Linked DNA regions of Drosophila melanogaster. The protein of the gene in region 1 purifies or fractionates together with the protein of each later gene. This does not show direct contact. Each region holds a gene or a part of one and is shown in the gene's direction. Other genes may lie near its edges. The genes, in order: His1:CG33825, mRpL22, RpL7 and Hrb87F.

Region 1 (3,213 bases):
GAACGTGAACTTTAGTGAAACCCAAATCGGAGATGGCTCGTACCAAGCAAACTGCTCGCAAATCGACTGGTGGAAAGGCGCCACGCAAACAACTGGCTACTAAGGCCGCTCGCAAGAGTGCTCCAGCCACCGGAGGTGTGAAGAAGCCCCACCGCTATCGCCCTGGAACCGTGGCCTTGCGTGAAATTCGTCGCTACCAAAAGAGCACCGAGCTTCTAATCCGCAAGCTGCCTTTCCAGCGTCTGGTGCGTGAAATCGCTCAAGACTTTAAGACGGACTTGCGATTCCAGAGCTCGGCGGTTATGGCTCTGCAGGAAGCTAGCGAAGCCTACCTGGTTGGTCTCTTCGAAGATACCAACTTGTGTGCCATTCATGCCAAGCGTGTCACCATAATGCCCAAAGACATCCAGTTAGCGCGACGCATTCGCGGCGAGCGTGCTTAAGCTGACACGGCATTAACTTGCAGATAAAGCGCTAGCGTACTCTATAATCGGTCCTTTTCAGGACCACAAACCAGATTCAATGAGATAAAATTTTCTGTGGCCGACTATTTATAACTTAAAAAAATAAGAACAAAATTCATATTCTATTATTTATGGCGCAAACGGTACTGGGTCTTAAATCATATGTAAAAATACTAATTCTGCCAGAGAAGGAATAAAAATAATCTTATTTTAATTGTCAGCTCAACATTTATTAAATTAAAGAAGAGGTTAATACAAAAATATATATTTTTATTTGTTCTTTGTGCGAACATCCTTTAAAGCAGTGAAAGTGTCGTGCGGGGCAAGGGACTCTGAACCTTAAACATCTAAAAAAAAAATCTGAATTCTGTGTAAGACAGTTTGAAATTAATGAAATTACATTGATGACGGCAATATTTATAAAATAACAGAAAATAATAAAATAAAACTAGCTATTTTATATTTTTTCCATGTGTTAACTGAAGAATGTGTTATTATTGAAGAGGTCGTACGGGACAATTGACACTGTCCCTTCAAACGTCTGTAAAAAATAAAACCTATGTAAAATTCAGCACGGAAATTGGTTAATTTTGTTGCGGAATGTAATATATATTACATAATAAAGGATAATACAAAAATTGTTTCTTTTTATTTTTTATTTGATTTATTTATTTGACTACATAGACGGTAATGCATATGTGGCGAGGAAATCGATTGATTTCAGAACAAATTATTTTAAAATATGCATGAAAACACATTAATAACAAGCAAACACATTAATAATTTAAGAAAATATTATTTATTATATTAATATTATGTTATTTAAGAAAGTATCTGTATTTTTAACGATCGAAAATTATTTCTGAATGCTGCTTTAAAGCAAATTTTTCTGTAGTTCAATGTGAACTTAAATCAAGTGATAAAGTATCTTAATTAATAATAGACGCTTCTTTCAGAAGCCCTTTCTAGGGGATGAACGTTTCAATTTTAATAAACATTACGAATTAGTGAAATATTTGCGATGATTCTTATTTTATTAGATGTTTTTTTATAAATTGGTCCAGTTAAAAATTCGAATATAAAAATTCAATCAACATTTGAAAGTCTCAAAACCCATATTACATCCTTTTAAAAATGGAAAGTGACGAAAAAATTATTTAAAATTGTAAAACTATTAAAACCTTATTTTTATTAATGATTTAAAATACTAAAAAATTAAAAAGAGTTTACACTTCAAGCAAACTTCGACATAGTAAATGACTGATGTCAGTAGCATTGTTAAAGTGCTCTCCTCCTCGATTCTCATCAGAGCAAAGGAGGTTGGTAGGCCGAGCGCGAGCCATTTTTAACAGAAAAAAAGTGTTCTCAGTGAAAAAAAGATGTCTGATTCTGCAGTTGCAACGTCCGCTTCCCCAGTGGCTGCCCCACCAGCGACAGTTGAGAAGAAAGTGGTCCAAAAAAAGGCATCTGGATCTGCTGGCACAAAGGCAAAGAAAGCCTCTGCGACGCCGTCACATCCGCCAACTCAGCAAATGGTGGACGCTTCCATTAAAAATTTAAAGGAACGTGGCGGTTCATCACTTCTGGCAATCAAAAAATATATCACTGCCACTTATAAATGCGACGCCCAAAAGTTAGCGCCATTCATCAAGAAGTACTTAAAATCGGCCGTGGTCAATGGAAAGCTTATCCAAACTAAGGGAAAGGGTGCATCTGGATCTTTCAAACTGTCGGCCTCTGCCAAGAAGGAAAAGGATCCGAAGGCAAAGTCGAAGGTTTTGTCTGCTGAGAAAAAAGTTCAAAGCAAGAAGGTAGCCTCTAAGAAGATTGGTGTCTCCTCCAAAAAAACTGCCGTTGGGGCTGCTGACAAAAAGCCCAAAGCTAAGAAGGCTGTGGCTACCAAAAAGACTGCCGAAAATAAGAAAACTGAGAAGGCAAAAGCCAAGGATGCCAAGAAAACTGGAATCATAAAGTCGAAGCCCGCCGCAACAAAGGCGAAAGTGACTGCAGCGAAGCCAAAGGCTGTAGTAGCGAAAGCGTCAAAGGCAAAGCCAGCGGTGTCTGCAAAACCCAAAAAGACGGTGAAGAAAGCATCGGTTTCTGCTACCGCCAAGAAGCCGAAAGCGAAGACTACGGCTGCCAAAAAGTAAATTGTGAAAAAGTGCAGTATTTGGTACATGTTCGCAATTAAAATTTTAGATTTATGTTTTATAGATCTGAAATTTGTTTAAACAAGTCCTTTTCAGGGCTACAACGTTCCGTTGCAAGAGAAAAAAACTTTTATTTTCTTCCACTTATTTATTAGCTGACGTTCGCAGCAACAATAAAACGTTTCATGTCATGAATTACATTGCATGTTGGTCGCATTCAGTTTTCGTTCCCGATTTTTTTGTATTTATTTGAACATTACCCAATTACCCATATTGCGGGTAAATAAGTTTTATTTGTAAATTCATATTCAATGATTGGTGGTTGAAAAATGCATTTCTTTGGTATAACACATTGTGGCCCTGAAAAGGGCCGTTTTGGATTATTGTCCGCATTCGCAGGAGAAAATTATTTAGAGCTGGTGTACTTGGTGACAGCCTTGGTTCCCTCACTGACAGCATGCTTGGCCAACTCTCCAGGCAAAAGCAGGCGAACAGCCGTTTGGATCTCCCGACTGGTGATGGTCGAGCGCTTGTTGTAGTGAGCTAGACGAGACGCTTCGGCAGCAATTCGCTCGAAAATATCATTTACAAAGCTGTTC
Region 2 (3,428 bases), on another chromosome or scaffold:
TATTGATTTTGGCTTTTGTGTTTGTGTTTTTTTGTCAGATTTTGTTTAATATGCGTATATTTTGGGAATTTATTTGGTCGGTGCACTTTTCACTGGTGCTGCAACACTGGAAAAAAATGTTTCAAGCAATTTGTTGGCGCGTCGCGTGTTGTGCTGTTAATAAGTAAAGTTCACTTTCAATTGGTATTGTTTGTATTATTTATATTTTGATTTGCTATTTGACATTTGGTGTTTGCTCTACCTCGGCAGCGAACGCAGCAAGATTTAAACGACGACTAATGGCGCACAGTATCTGTAAGATACATCTTAGCACCGCCAGAGATACATGGGTGAACTGCTCGTGCCAGATCGCCTACTCAATACCCAACCAATGTAGTCTCTAGTTTTTAGACTCGGGAGAGCGATCTCGGAACAAACGCAAAGCTCTCAAACAACCAAAACGATAGCAAAAGTTTTATTTTTTCATTATCTACACATGTATGTAGCGAGCATCCCACTCGAAAAAAATTTCAAAGGTGAGTTTCGTGTGGGAAGTCTGTAATTTCCGTTAGCAAAAGTTTCGACCATTTGATGTGTCATTTTGTTGGGCCATATGTACATATGGAAGAACGTTTATTTCGAAAATGGAATCACATATAAATTTATGATTTTTATGTTCATATACACAAGCTTATATCCATTCGGAAATTAAAAAAATGTATATATTTTTTAAAATTCGAAAAAGGTAAATACACTTTTTTCAAAGTTTTAACTAAATGAGCTTTGAAATCTATAAGTTTTAATTGCACGATATGCAACATTTTCGCATGTGCGTTGGTGCAAATTAATTCTGCCTCGAAAATGAGAACGCTGCAGTGAAAATGGGTTTTCCCATTTATCCAGATGGTTTAGATTCGCAATCACGAGATCTCGGAATGTAGTGCAATTCGACTATACGAGCAAATTCGCCGGCTAACCGAGGCAGAGCAAACTGGCAATGCAAATTAATGAAAACAAACAATGAGCCCTCGAAACTCCGGTAAACATTTTCGATGGCTGGATATATGTATCAGATAACACGCAAATATAAATGTTTCGCCGTTCAATTACCATCGATTGCATTTGCATACGCGAATTTGAATCAAAACTGGCGCCCGTTGAATTTCCGTTTCGAACGCGAGCGCTCCGCACTTTACACCAGGCAACTTTCGCTTCACGCCACCGAATGCAGCACTCAGATGGCTAGCAATTCCTCAGATACAATTTCAAATTTCACGCAGGGATGCCAGATCGTTGGGCGATTCAAAAGTGAGCGCGACGCGCTGTTGAGAACGATCAACTTAAGTGTATAATATTGAACTAGAATAGTTACATAGTGCATAAGGAATATTTATGTCTTTCAATTTTAATATACTTTAAAGATGGTCAATTCCAAATGGGTACTTTAATTGTTAGGTTTCATATTTTTATGAAAATGTGTATTAATTGCTAATTTGTGTGGAGATAAATGTTTCCGTTTCAATGCATTATTTTAATGGCTTCTAAATGTGAATTGCTGATATGCTCTTATTTAAGTTAATAATTTTATGTCGTACCAACTTGCTTTTACAAGTTTTTTTTTAAATCTAATAAATAAATATATTTTCAAGCAATATCGATAGCGCTGCCAGATGTTTACATATCCTAATCAAACGCTGCCATACCGCTCGCAGATCAGCCGCTTGTGCGGTACGTTTTAGGTCCACGGCATACCTGCTGCCATTGGTCACACTGGCAGATTACGCGATTATTTTTTTTACGGAAAGTCTGCGTTTTCCCTTCCGGATTGAATTGCCTGGATTTGCTGTGATAACTCAAGCAAGCTAAGATGCACAAGGTGATCCGGCAAATGTCCCAGCTGCGCCTGCAGGCGCCACAGGGAGCAGCGCTCCTCCGATCGGCGGATAGCAGCTCAATATCACCAGCCATATCACCAGTTTCACCACCTGCCCTCCAGTCGAAATCCCTGCACACGGCCGCTTCCGCCGGAATGCTGTGCGCCAAGTGGAACAAGTACAACTACGGACCCCGCAAATGGCTGGAGTACAACAAGACCGTGCATCCGCCGCAGGAAACGGACGAGGAGCCCAGAAATGCTGTAAGATACATATTTCGAACGCACTGCTGTTACCCCTCCAGCTGCAATCCTCTAATCCACTTGCATTGCACAGTATGTCTGCCACATGCGCAGCAACATCAAATACAGTCCGGACAAGATGTGGTACATCGCTGCCTTTGTTCGCGGAATGTCCGTCGACGAGGCGCTGAAGCAGCTGAACTTTGTGCTCAAAAAGGGGGCCACCGATGTGAAGGAGACCATACTGGAGGCCCAGCAAATAGCCGTGGAGCGGCATAACGTGGAGTACAAGAGCAATCTGTGGATAGGTGAGCCGCAGGGGCACAAGGAATCTATGTATCCACTATGAATGATGGATTATCATTAGTTTCTTCATCACTAACCATTATATTGATGAATCTTTGTCTGTTCTTACCTACCAGCCGAATCCTTCGTGGGCAAGGGACGCGTCTTCAAGGGCGTGAGGCGGCATGCTCGCGGTCGCTTCGGCAAAGTGGAGTACAAGCACTGCCACTACTTCGTGCGCCTGGAGGAGGGCGAGCCGCCGCAGCACTACTACCAGGAGCCGCAGACGCCGGAGCAGCAGTACGAGAGCTGGATGGAGCAGATGCGAAGCCGGAAGATCATCAACTCGCTGTAGCCACCTGAATTGGCACTCGTATGCAATCGATCCGCACTCCTGCAGTCCTCCATCGCCATCGCGTCCACGCGCATTAAGCATTTTTTTTGGTTTTAGAAGATTGTTTAATAAAATAGAAACAGACAAAAGAACTATGTCAGAGGTTCATATTGTTCTTATTTTTACTTAGAGGAGTTTATTTTATTTAGTTTTGCGCGTATATACACAATGGATATTATTGGTTTTCTCTCTGGATGCCCGAGAGTTTCGGAACTCTAGTTGAAGTCAGGGAATGTTTGCAACTGTAAGCTTAAAGTAAATAAACTAATTCGCTCCAGGCGAATACTACTAATAATAGCTTACTAATTTATGCAAATTAATGCAATTTCGGATGTTTCTGAACGCAAATCCTAAGTATTTACTGATAAATTAGTTGTTTCTCTTTTAGAAGTTGTGGTTTAAATTAAAGTAGTCATTCAATTGTTAGCCTCTTGACCAGACCTTCTCACTCCCGTCCCTTTGAATGGCCTTTTGCTCTACTCCTGCTCCTTTTCCTCTTCATCCTGCAGGGTCTGTGCCAGCAGCTCCTCGACGGGGTCATCCTTCAGCGACTGGGTGATCTTTTCGAGGACCAAAGGCTGTCGCTCGCGCACCGCCTCATCATCTTCCTTGTCCAATTGCAGGCAGGCCAGTTTGGATAGCCTCGAATGTTTG
Region 3 (3,657 bases), about 11 Mb from region 1:
TTGCACTGATCTGAATCTGAATCTGAATCTGGGGGATCGCGCACGTGCGCGATGGGAAAAAGCTCTTCCCACATCGCCGGAATCGTGGGGTGCCAGCCCACTGATACCATCGACCCATATATGATGCACTAAATCAACTCGAAGCGAACCAGAAGTTATAAGCAATTAATAAATAGTTTGTTAAACTTTACAATAAGCAGAGAAAAACGTTTTATATTCATAAATCAAACTTAGTCTCGCACCTGATTTATTTTCTTAATCTAGAATGCCACATTAGAAGAATGGTTTAGTTTGAATTTTGTAAGAGCCTAGAATACATTTTATAAATCTGTTATTCCTAAGATTTTAATTTTAATTTGTTGTGCAATTATAACAATATGCTTAAAGATCTCATTTCTAGCCATAACTCATATCATTCTTTGGATTTAGATTAATTAGGGGGGGAATATCATGTATCACTGTTTCAAAAATTTAATACGCATATAAAGCCTTCGGATCTAAAAAATCTTCTGTGCAGATCTCTGGTTTTCCAAACTGATAAGACTGTCTGAAGTTTAACTTATGTAACTTATCTTATTATAACTAATAAACTCCTTTAAACTAGCTATCAGCAGTCAGCGGTAGAAACCAGCTCCATAAACGACCTAGACGGAGGAGAAGTAGTCGCAGCTGCCGCACATGTCGTATAGTTGTCCCGAAGCGGGTTCGATGAAAAATCGCAGGGCCTGAGTGCACTGAAGTTCATGGCTGGCGATTTGTTGTTGCAGCAGTATCTGCAGCTGTTCCATGTTCGCAGAGTGCTCGAAGCGGATGCCACACTCGCAGATGAAGGCACCTTTGTGATGGCGTAGGTTTTTAATCTGACAAACTGGGCATAAAACCTCCTTTTGCTGCTCATCGGGCTCTGCGTATAGCGTTTCCAGATTCTTTTCGCCCAGGGCATACCACTCGTTGACATCGGATAGTAGCTCCTCCAGAATCAGCTCCTCAAGCTCCACATCCTTCTCTAGCTCACTGAGTTCCAGGCGCAGGATTTCCCTGAGTTCGGACTGAAAAAATGGGTGGTTTATGATGGGCTTACTATGGAGATTTGTATGTCCTACCAATTGGATTTCTCGTTGGGCATCCGTGCATCTATTGCGCGTTTCTATGATGCGCTTGCGGTATTTCTACAGGGTATTTATGTGTAAGTATATTGGTACTTTAAGGGGTACACTGATGTCTTTACCTCTCGCAGCATTTCGCGAAGTCTTGGCATTTGGTTGCCCATCCGCTGTCTTTTGGCCACTTCTTGAGCATGCCGCTTTTGCTCCACGGAGGTGCGATAAACCGGGCTTTGAGTGGAGTTCATTTCGGTTTATTTGTATATGTGGTTATTTTGTTTGTTTTTAATCTTTTTTTTTAACTAGATATGGTAGGTCAGTGTCGTCAATAAGGCAAGGTTCCAATTTTATAGCGCTGTTGGTGATTGATAGTGATCTAAAAAGTATACGGTATTCAAAATTAATTAGGTAAATTAAGTGAAATGAAGTAAATGTAAGATACGACTCATCTCCACATATATATAAAAGATTATAAAATAAGTAGTATTACTTAACACAGCCCATGAAGACAGCTCGCACAATGAATTCATGAACTAAGGGCGGCTTAAATACACTATTAACATGTTTAACCAACTTACCTAGTAATTAGCAATCGGAAATAGTTGAAAAACACAACTTTTTTGCTAAAAAAAAAAATCCGCGCAATTTGCTGTTGCTCTGCTAGTGGTGGCACTTCTTCGATAGCCCACTCCGCGGCCAGTGTGACCGTTTGGCCGATGGCGCGCGTGTCACGTGTGCACGCATTTCGCAGCACTGAAAGCAGGGTTGTACCGATTTGACAGCCCGAAGTTGGCGTATAGCACGTTTCCGGTCTTTCTTTCCCTTTCTTTTACCAGCGTGTGCAGTGACTAGTAAAAGGTTAGTGCGATATTTTCAATAAAAATACCATCCAAAGTGAAAGGAAACCGCTCAAATGCCATTGTTTTGTGCCGCCCACAGATGCCTGCTCCGGTCGTCAAGAAGCCAGCAGCGAAAAAGCTGCCCGCCGTGCCGGAATCGAAGCTGAAGTTCAGCAAGAAACAAATCTCCAAGCGAGTCGCCGAGTCGAAACGTCGCCTGAAGAAGGCCGCCGTGATTGCCCTGCGCAAGAAGGAGAACCTGGTCCGCGCCGAGAAGTACCAGAATGAGTACATCAAGGCGGAACAGCGCGAGATCAAGCTGCGTCGCTTGGCCAAGAAGCGCAACCAGTTCTACGTGCCCGCCGAGGCCAAATTGGCCTTTGTCGTCCGTATCCGCGGGTAAGTCCTCTAATGCTCCTCCATGCACAAGTCACACCAATTCATGCCCAATCCCATTAACCGCCAACAGTATCAACAAGGTGGCTCCCAAGGTCCGCAAGGTTCTGCAGCTGTTCCGTCTGAGGCAGATCAACAACGGTGTGTTCATCAAGCTGAACAAGGCCACCATCAACATGCTGCGCATCGCCGAGCCCTACATCACCTGGGGCTATCCCAATCTGAAGTCCGTGCGGGAGCTGATCTACAAGCGTGGATTCGTGAAGCATAACCGCCAGCGCGTGCCCATCACCGATAACTTCGTGATCGAGCGGAAGCTGCGTCAGGCGCACCAAATTCAGTGCGTCGAGGATCTTGTCCATGAGATCTTCACCGTGGGGCCCAACTTCAAGTACGCCTCCAACTTCCTGTGGCCCTTCAAGCTAAACACCCCCACCGGCGGCTGGCGCAAGAAGGCCAACCATTATGTCAACGGTGGTGACTTCGGCAACCGCGAGGACCAGATCAACCGTCTGCTGCGCAAGATGGTCTAAGGACTCCTTTTGATTTATGTGCTGAAACGACAACTGCAGCGGTTCGATGTAAACAGTGAGAGAAATAAAAGTTACTTTTATAAACCCACGAAATGCCGTTCAGTACAAAAACGCAGTGTTTTCGCTTCGATTCGCTGATTTAGTCATTGCGACTTAAATTGGAAAATATCAGTGAAGAGAGAGAGGACTTTTTTAAGGAACGTTTAGTTAAATGTACCAATAGTTTCATAACAACTTTAAATTTAGTAATTTTCTTTCATTTTAATGTTACATTTTTACTTTAAAGAATTCTGCGGTACTCCAGAAAGTCTTGCCCTTTGCTAAGATTAACCCCACGTTCAGTATAATTTTTTGGTTTGCTAATCGTTAATAATTCGATGTATAGCAATATTTAAATTTAAAATTTAGACAGTTTGCTTTTGTAGGCCCATTATTTGAAATGAAAACACAGGATTCTTGTTAATTTGTCTACGCTCTAGATTGTTTATTGTTGTTCTGGTCAAATTTTAAGCGCGCTTAGTGCACAACACTTAAATGCAGATAGCAAGCTAGATTCAGGGTGCCAGGGATAAAAATCGTTTGCCAATGTACACTTTATTGAATCATGGTTTGCCTTTCAGCTGGCAGTGGATTTAAATCGTTTTTTTTTTTTTTACACACACAATAGTCCAAAGCAGTTAGCAAACAAACATAAATTGTAAATTCCAATAGCATGGAAATTAGTCAATAATCGGGAGGAAGCTGGCACCCTTTTTAAATGTATAATTTAATTAATCGTTACCACAT
Region 4 (6,043 bases), on another chromosome or scaffold:
ATATCGATCGTCGTAGCGGTCGCGGTTGCTGCCACGAGCGGTACCCCTGGCGGGTTCAACAACCACACTGCAAAAATATAGAACATACAATCGTGAGTCATTTCGTACTTTGGCTTATATCTAACAACTCACCGTTCGCCAAGCAGCTCTTTGCCATTCAGTTCATAGACGGCATCGTCGGCATCACGATAGTCTTCGAATTCCTGAAAATTCAATTAGTGATTAGTATTGATTATGGAATTAGTATTGAAGCTACCCTGCCTGTGCATACTCTTATGGAAATACGCTGGGTGAATTTAAGAACAGTTTTTAAGCGTCACTGTATTTGACAGACAAATGATGGAACAAATATAGGTTCAAAAAGAAAAAAAAAGTATTCAAGGGTCGGCTTGAAATGTTAGGAAACCTATAGACAAACAGAGAAATGCAGAAATGTCTTCAAATCAAATTTAACCGATTTTTTTTTTTTACATATTCCAGTTAAATATGATATTTTGTACTCACCACAAAGCCGTAGCCATTTTTGATGAGGATGTCGCGTGTGCGGCCGTAGCCTTTGAAAAAGCGCTCCAAATCGCGCTCGCGCACTCCGTAGGGCAGACCGCCCACATACACTCGAGATCCCACCATGATAACGGTTCCTTACGTATCTGGAGCAGGTGCTATAAAATAGTGAAGTATATATATATATATCAGCAAGGGAACCGTTGCAGTTTGCAGCTTCTATTTTGCTCGACTGTCCTTTAGGAATGGAAGAAAAAAAAAACGCACATATGTACGCGCCGTGTATGTTTCGCCAAGATGGCGGCCACCACATACACACACACACGCTCGCAATGTACCGGGTGTACAGAACCGCTGCAAAAACGAGTTAATTTAACAACGCGAAATACGCGCTGTTCTTCACTTAAGCGTACTCACTAGCACGTACCGTTCAGTGAAGGATATTTGTGGCAAATTTACAATTAAGTCGCTGCCGTACTCTCTCTTTTTCAGGCTTTCCCACACGAAAAAACGCAAGCGACTCGACACAAACGGAAGTGAAAGTGACAGACGAAAGCGATGTTTGACAGTCATTCCAAAGGCGGAATGGAACGATACTTTTTCGCCTATCGATATTTTGGGCGGGCAATGCGTTTCGCTGCGTTAAGGGTATTCCAGTTGCTGTTCGTGTTCCGCTATGAAAAGAATAAACATTAAATATACTTAGTAGTAGCATTTGAATATACTGTTAACAACCTTTTTATTTTGATATCTGCTAGCAAGCACTCATTAGCATTTTTTAACGTTTCTGATTTGATGATATACATAAAATGTTTCTGGATTTATTAATTTATTTCGCACGATGTCTTTTTTTATTCCCAAATGCCTCATAGATCCCGTAATTGTAATATTGATTGACCCTTAGCTGGCTACTTACAAATATACAATTCAATACAAAATAATTTACAAGTTATCTCTTAAAGTGAAGCCTTCCATCGCCCCAGCTAAAGCGAATGCTCGCAGAAAGAGTTATGTAAGCGGTATTAATAATAATACATATTTAGCTAAAAAGTTAAACATATTAAATGTTTCTTGGGTTATCGTGGTAGTAATTATCATAATCCATTTATAAAGATAATACATTCAAATCCGTTTGTTCAGAAATATATACAATAAACTTGTCTAATATTTTTAAGCCCTTACTAGACGAATACAAATTTATATGAAGATATATAAAATCAAGTGTGGCATCAGCTTAATTGTCGAGGAACACCCCTAACGCACCGAAACAATCGTTCCGATTCCACGTGGCGTCCGATTTTCCGACTTTACCCCGTTCTCGACACCTGGTCATACTGCTCACTCCATTCTCATTGTGCGTGCTGTACATTTCATTTATTGCCAGTCTGCCGTCAAAAAAGAACAAAAACAAAAAAAATATTTCCTGCGTTCGGTGTTTAAACTTTCCATCTTCTTGAACAACCAAGGAGAGAATGGCGGAACAAAACGATTCCAACGGAAACTACGACGATGGTGAAGAGGTGAGTTGCAGAATGACCAATTGCTGTTTGTAAATCGTTCATCGCGCGTGAAAGTGCAAAATGTCGACGCCGACAATATTCGTGTATAATATACATTCACGCCGCTTTTTTACCGAATTATGGGGGCCATCGATCCCTGTGCGAATTTAGCCAGCTAAAAGTTTATCGACCTCTTTTGGCGAGAAATATAAGCAATTTCCGATAAAAAAGTTGCCGGCTGTTTGATAAAAAAGAAAACGAAAATTCATACATACATACACATATACGGGCTGTCATGGCGGTGCAAATACTAAAAAAAAAAAAAAAAAATATGGCGAGCGGCTTTTTCTCGCCAGGTAAATTACTATTATAAACAATGGCAAATCCTTGTTGATCAAGGATGATTTTGCACTTTTATCGTTTTATTGACATAAACTTATTGACTTATTGACAGCAACTTATTTTTTTATTAAATTTACAGCAACTTATTATACATTTAAATATTTTTTATACATTTATTCATTTAGATACAGTATGATTTTTTTTTTTATTATATAAATTTATACATTTTTCGCAAAGTTTGTCCAAAGAAATCAATTAATTTAATTTAATATTACAACTTATTTTCGAATCAATGGGTTTTTTTTTTGTTTTTAGAAATTATTTAAATTATAGAACGTCTTTAGCTAATGCATTTGAAATTCACCCGCAGATCACCGAGCCAGAGCAGCTGCGCAAACTGTTCATCGGCGGACTGGACTACCGCACCACAGATGATGGCCTGAAGGCTCACTTCGAGAAGTGGGGCAACATTGTCGACGTGGTGGTGATGAAGGATCCCAAGACGAAGCGCTCTCGCGGCTTCGGTTTCATCACGTACTCCCAGTCGTACATGATCGACAATGCGCAGAATGCCAGGCCACACAAGATCGATGGACGCACCGTGGAGCCCAAGAGGGCTGTGCCACGCCAGGAGATCGATTCCCCGAATGCGGGAGCCACGGTAAAGAAGCTCTTTGTGGGCGGGCTTCGAGACGATCACGATGAAGAGTGCCTGCGCGAGTACTTCAAGGACTTTGGCCAGATCGTGAGCGTGAACATTGTTTCCGACAAGGACACCGGCAAGAAGCGCGGCTTCGCCTTCATTGAGTTCGATGACTACGATCCCGTTGACAAAATCATCCTTCAGAAGACCCACTCCATCAAGAACAAGACCCTGGACGTGAAGAAGGCTATTGCCAAGCAGGATATGGATCGACAGGGCGGAGGTGGCGGACGCGGAGGTCCTCGAGCTGGCGGTCGCGGTGGTCAGGGTGACCGCGGCCAGGGAGGCGGTGGCTGGGGAGGCCAGAACAGACAGAACGGTGGGGGCAACTGGGGCGGAGCTGGCGGCGGCGGAGGATTCGGCAACAGCGGCGGTAACTTTGGAGGCGGTCAGGGCGGCGGCTCTGGCGGTTGGAATCAGCAAGGCGGAAGCGGAGGTGGTCCATGGAATAACCAGGGTGGCGGCAACGGCGGCTGGAACGGTGGTGGTGGCGGCGGCTACGGCGGCGGAAACAGCAATGGCAGCTGGGGCGGTAACGGTGGTGGAGGTGGTGGTGGCGGTGGCTTCGGAAATGAATACCAGCAGAGCTACGGCGGCGGTCCACAGCGCAACAGCAACTTTGGCAACAACCGTCCAGCTCCTTACAGTCAAGGAGGTGGTGGTGGAGGATTCAACAAGGGTATGTTGGGTTATTAAGTGATTTGACCATAATGTACATAATGTACTTAAACCATGCATTTATTTTTTACAGGTAACCAGGGTGGAGGTCAAGGCTTTGCTGGCAACAACTACAACACCGGAGGTGGTGGCCAGGGTGGAAATATGGGAGGCGGCAATAGACGTTACTAGACAAGGTAAATATAGATAACCTGGACGACAGGTCCTATCCCATCGTACAATCTCAAACGCTCGGATCTTTGGTCGTTATTGGCAGCTAGTTGGTAGCCTAGCCATGCAATCAAACTCATTTCGGAACGATTCGAAGCTAATGCAAAATTTTCTCCTCTTTCGCAACTAGGTAAACACACATAGAGAGAGAGAGTGTGTCAGTTCAAGCTAGACGACAAACAGGCAGTCTAGGCAGGCAGATGCAGAGGGACAAGCACATTCACAGGCAGGCAATCAGTAGCATGTGTGTGTCAGACCAGGCAGACAAGATCAGAACCAAGAAATCAAGATGCAGAACCAAGAACCAGGCCGTGCGCAAATGCAAACGATAAATCAATCAATCAGGTTTGGGTCCGGCCGCAACCTGCAGGCTATAGCCATAATCCACTTGTCAAAAGCACCAAGCAAATGATTATGCGTCAAGCAAAACAGCCAAAAGCGAAACGAAACGAAATCCAATCGACGCCACTTGTCCACAGTTTGAATGCTGCTATCTCTCTTTTGTAACCATTAATAATTCGCTGATCGATTTATGTTTAGGGTCCTAAGAACCCCGAACGCTTAGTTTTAACCATAAACAAACAAAAGAAACAAACACAACAAAATATAAATTAAACAATAATTTTATTGTACAAAATTGACTACCAACTGAGCGGCGACGGATTCTCCTTGAGATTCAGTCGTTGTAAGGGTGTTATAAGGTAGAGCACTTTCTTTATATTTATTCATGATTTTATTGTTTTTAGCGATCCAGCGAAATGTAAGAAATCAAATAGTACCATATTTTGTAATCACTTTTTTTGTACAACTAAGAACCTTTATGATTTGTGGCAAGTAAGATCCCAACTCCTGAAATGCGAATGCCACGCACATTTGTGTACAGGCTGCACAGTGGCCGAGAAATGGTGTCCTAGCGAGCAAAATCCATATATGCATACCAACTCTGTTAGTCCCTAAGAAGTAGATGCTACGTTAAGCCAGACTAAAAAGAAAAACGCTAAACAAATATCACAAACATTCTGTAATTAGTTCGTTACGAGTGAAACGAAAGCGACAAAGAGATACAAGCAAAATAAAATCCTAACCAATGTTACCTACCCACCCAAAATGAAACGAAACGAAATAATCACAGGAGCAATGCCCTAGCAAAGAGGAGCAGCAACTGCAGCAAAATCCGGGTTTTCCGATCCATCCCAGATCGGCAGGGTAGCGGGCAGGGCTAATTACCGTCACTAGAGACCCCCACCACCTAACCCCCGGGCAAACCGCCGCATACTAATGCACTGACTATTTCTTTGCAAGACTGGCCGGGCTACGGACGGAAGCTCCCTCCCGGGTCCGTATACGAAATCTGGGCTGCTCCACGCACCGGTTCGTTTCCACCAGGTATTAGTTAATGGTTTTAGACCGCAAAGCAAGCGGTGGCCCAGGAAGAACTCACTGGTGGACTTTGGTTGGTGGCTCCCTTCTGGCTAACTTGGTGGGTACAGCGGAGGTAAGTGAAGGTAACTAGTCGGTATTCTACTAACACCTCATTTGTTTCTGAATTTTTCAATAAAGTACAACTTTTACTAGCAAGAACAAGAGCTGTATTTTATTTTCTGGGGGCGATATTTTATAGGGTTACGTATAAGGGTTTAGGCCCTATCGATTTATTGGCCTATTTGTATCCAATAATGCTGAATCATCTAAAAGTGACAAGAACTTTCACTACCAAGAACAATTTGTTCTATGAATACCATAAATGTTCAGTGGATTATAGCCGGTTTTCGAAGGACCTAGCTTTCTGGATTGTATTACGAACTAAATTCTTATGAGATCAATGGGGTTTTTCTTCTAATAATGCATAAGTAGGGTTTTTTGCTAGGACTACGAAGCAAAAGAGGCGATATTATAGGGATTTATAGGGTTACGCTTTAAGGATTCAAACCCTATCGATTTATTGGCCCATTTGCATCCAATAATGCTGAATCATCTAAATGTGGCAACAATATTTTTGGACCTTTTTCGATAGTCCATAACTATAGACGTTTGGATTTTCTTGCCTGTCATTCAATTTGTGGTTGGCTTCACCTGAGTGCTGTAGTAAATCAGGCTATTTTAATTT

What was found.
Region 2: the proteins of His1:CG33825 (region 1) and mRpL22 purify together in Drosophila melanogaster (affinity purification with western blotting; one study listed by BioGRID). This does not show direct contact.
Region 3: the proteins of His1:CG33825 (region 1) and RpL7 purify together in Drosophila melanogaster (affinity purification with western blotting; one study listed by BioGRID). This does not show direct contact.
Region 4: the proteins of His1:CG33825 (region 1) and Hrb87F purify together in Drosophila melanogaster (affinity purification with mass spectrometry, with the first as the bait; one study listed by BioGRID). This does not show direct contact.

What each region holds. Positions count from the first base shown.
Region 1 is NT_033779.5:21,469,575-21,472,787, forward strand, and holds His1:CG33825 (histone H1), read left to right. Parts: upstream 1-1,684; 5' UTR 1,685-1,843; coding exon 1,844-2,614; 3' UTR 2,615-2,707; downstream 2,708-3,213. Other genes in the region: His3:CG33824 (histone H3), read left to right, coding at 33-443; His2B:CG33894 (histone H2B), read right to left, coding at 3,021-3,213. UniProt on the Drosophila melanogaster protein: Histones H1 are necessary for the condensation of nucleosome chains into higher-order structures.
Region 2 is NC_004354.4:16,782,229-16,785,656, forward strand, and holds mRpL22 (mitochondrial ribosomal protein L22), read left to right. Parts: upstream 1-1,704; 5' UTR 1,705-1,846; coding exon 1,847-2,116; intron 2,117-2,189; coding exon 2,190-2,403; intron 2,404-2,517; coding exon 2,518-2,735; 3' UTR 2,736-2,864; downstream 2,865-3,428. Other genes in the region: CG9609 (uncharacterized protein), read right to left, coding at 3,251-3,428.
Region 3 is NT_033779.5:10,199,188-10,202,844, forward strand, and holds RpL7 (ribosomal protein L7), read left to right. Parts: upstream 1-1,816; 5' UTR 1,817-1,961; intron 1,962-2,042; coding exon 2,043-2,341; intron 2,342-2,411; coding exon 2,412-2,871; 3' UTR 2,872-3,134; downstream 3,135-3,657. Other genes in the region: Ripalpha (RPA-interacting protein alpha), read right to left, coding at 645-1,049, 1,104-1,169, 1,229-1,351. UniProt on the Drosophila melanogaster protein: Binds to G-rich structures in 28S rRNA and in mRNAs. Plays a regulatory role in the translation apparatus; inhibits cell-free translation of mRNAs.
Region 4 is NT_033777.3:13,656,321-13,662,363, reverse strand, and holds Hrb87F (heterogeneous nuclear ribonucleoprotein at 87F), read left to right. Parts: upstream 1-1,832; 5' UTR 1,833-1,976; coding exon 1,977-2,024; intron 2,025-2,715; coding exon 2,716-3,727; intron 3,728-3,799; coding exon 3,800-3,897; 3' UTR 3,898-3,902; intron 3,903-4,066; 3' UTR 4,067-5,518; downstream 5,519-6,043. Other genes in the region: B52, read right to left, coding at 1-67, 133-203, 505-630. UniProt on the Drosophila melanogaster protein: This protein is a component of ribonucleosomes. Could be needed to organize a concentration gradient of a dorsalizing morphogen (Dm) originating in the germinal vesicle.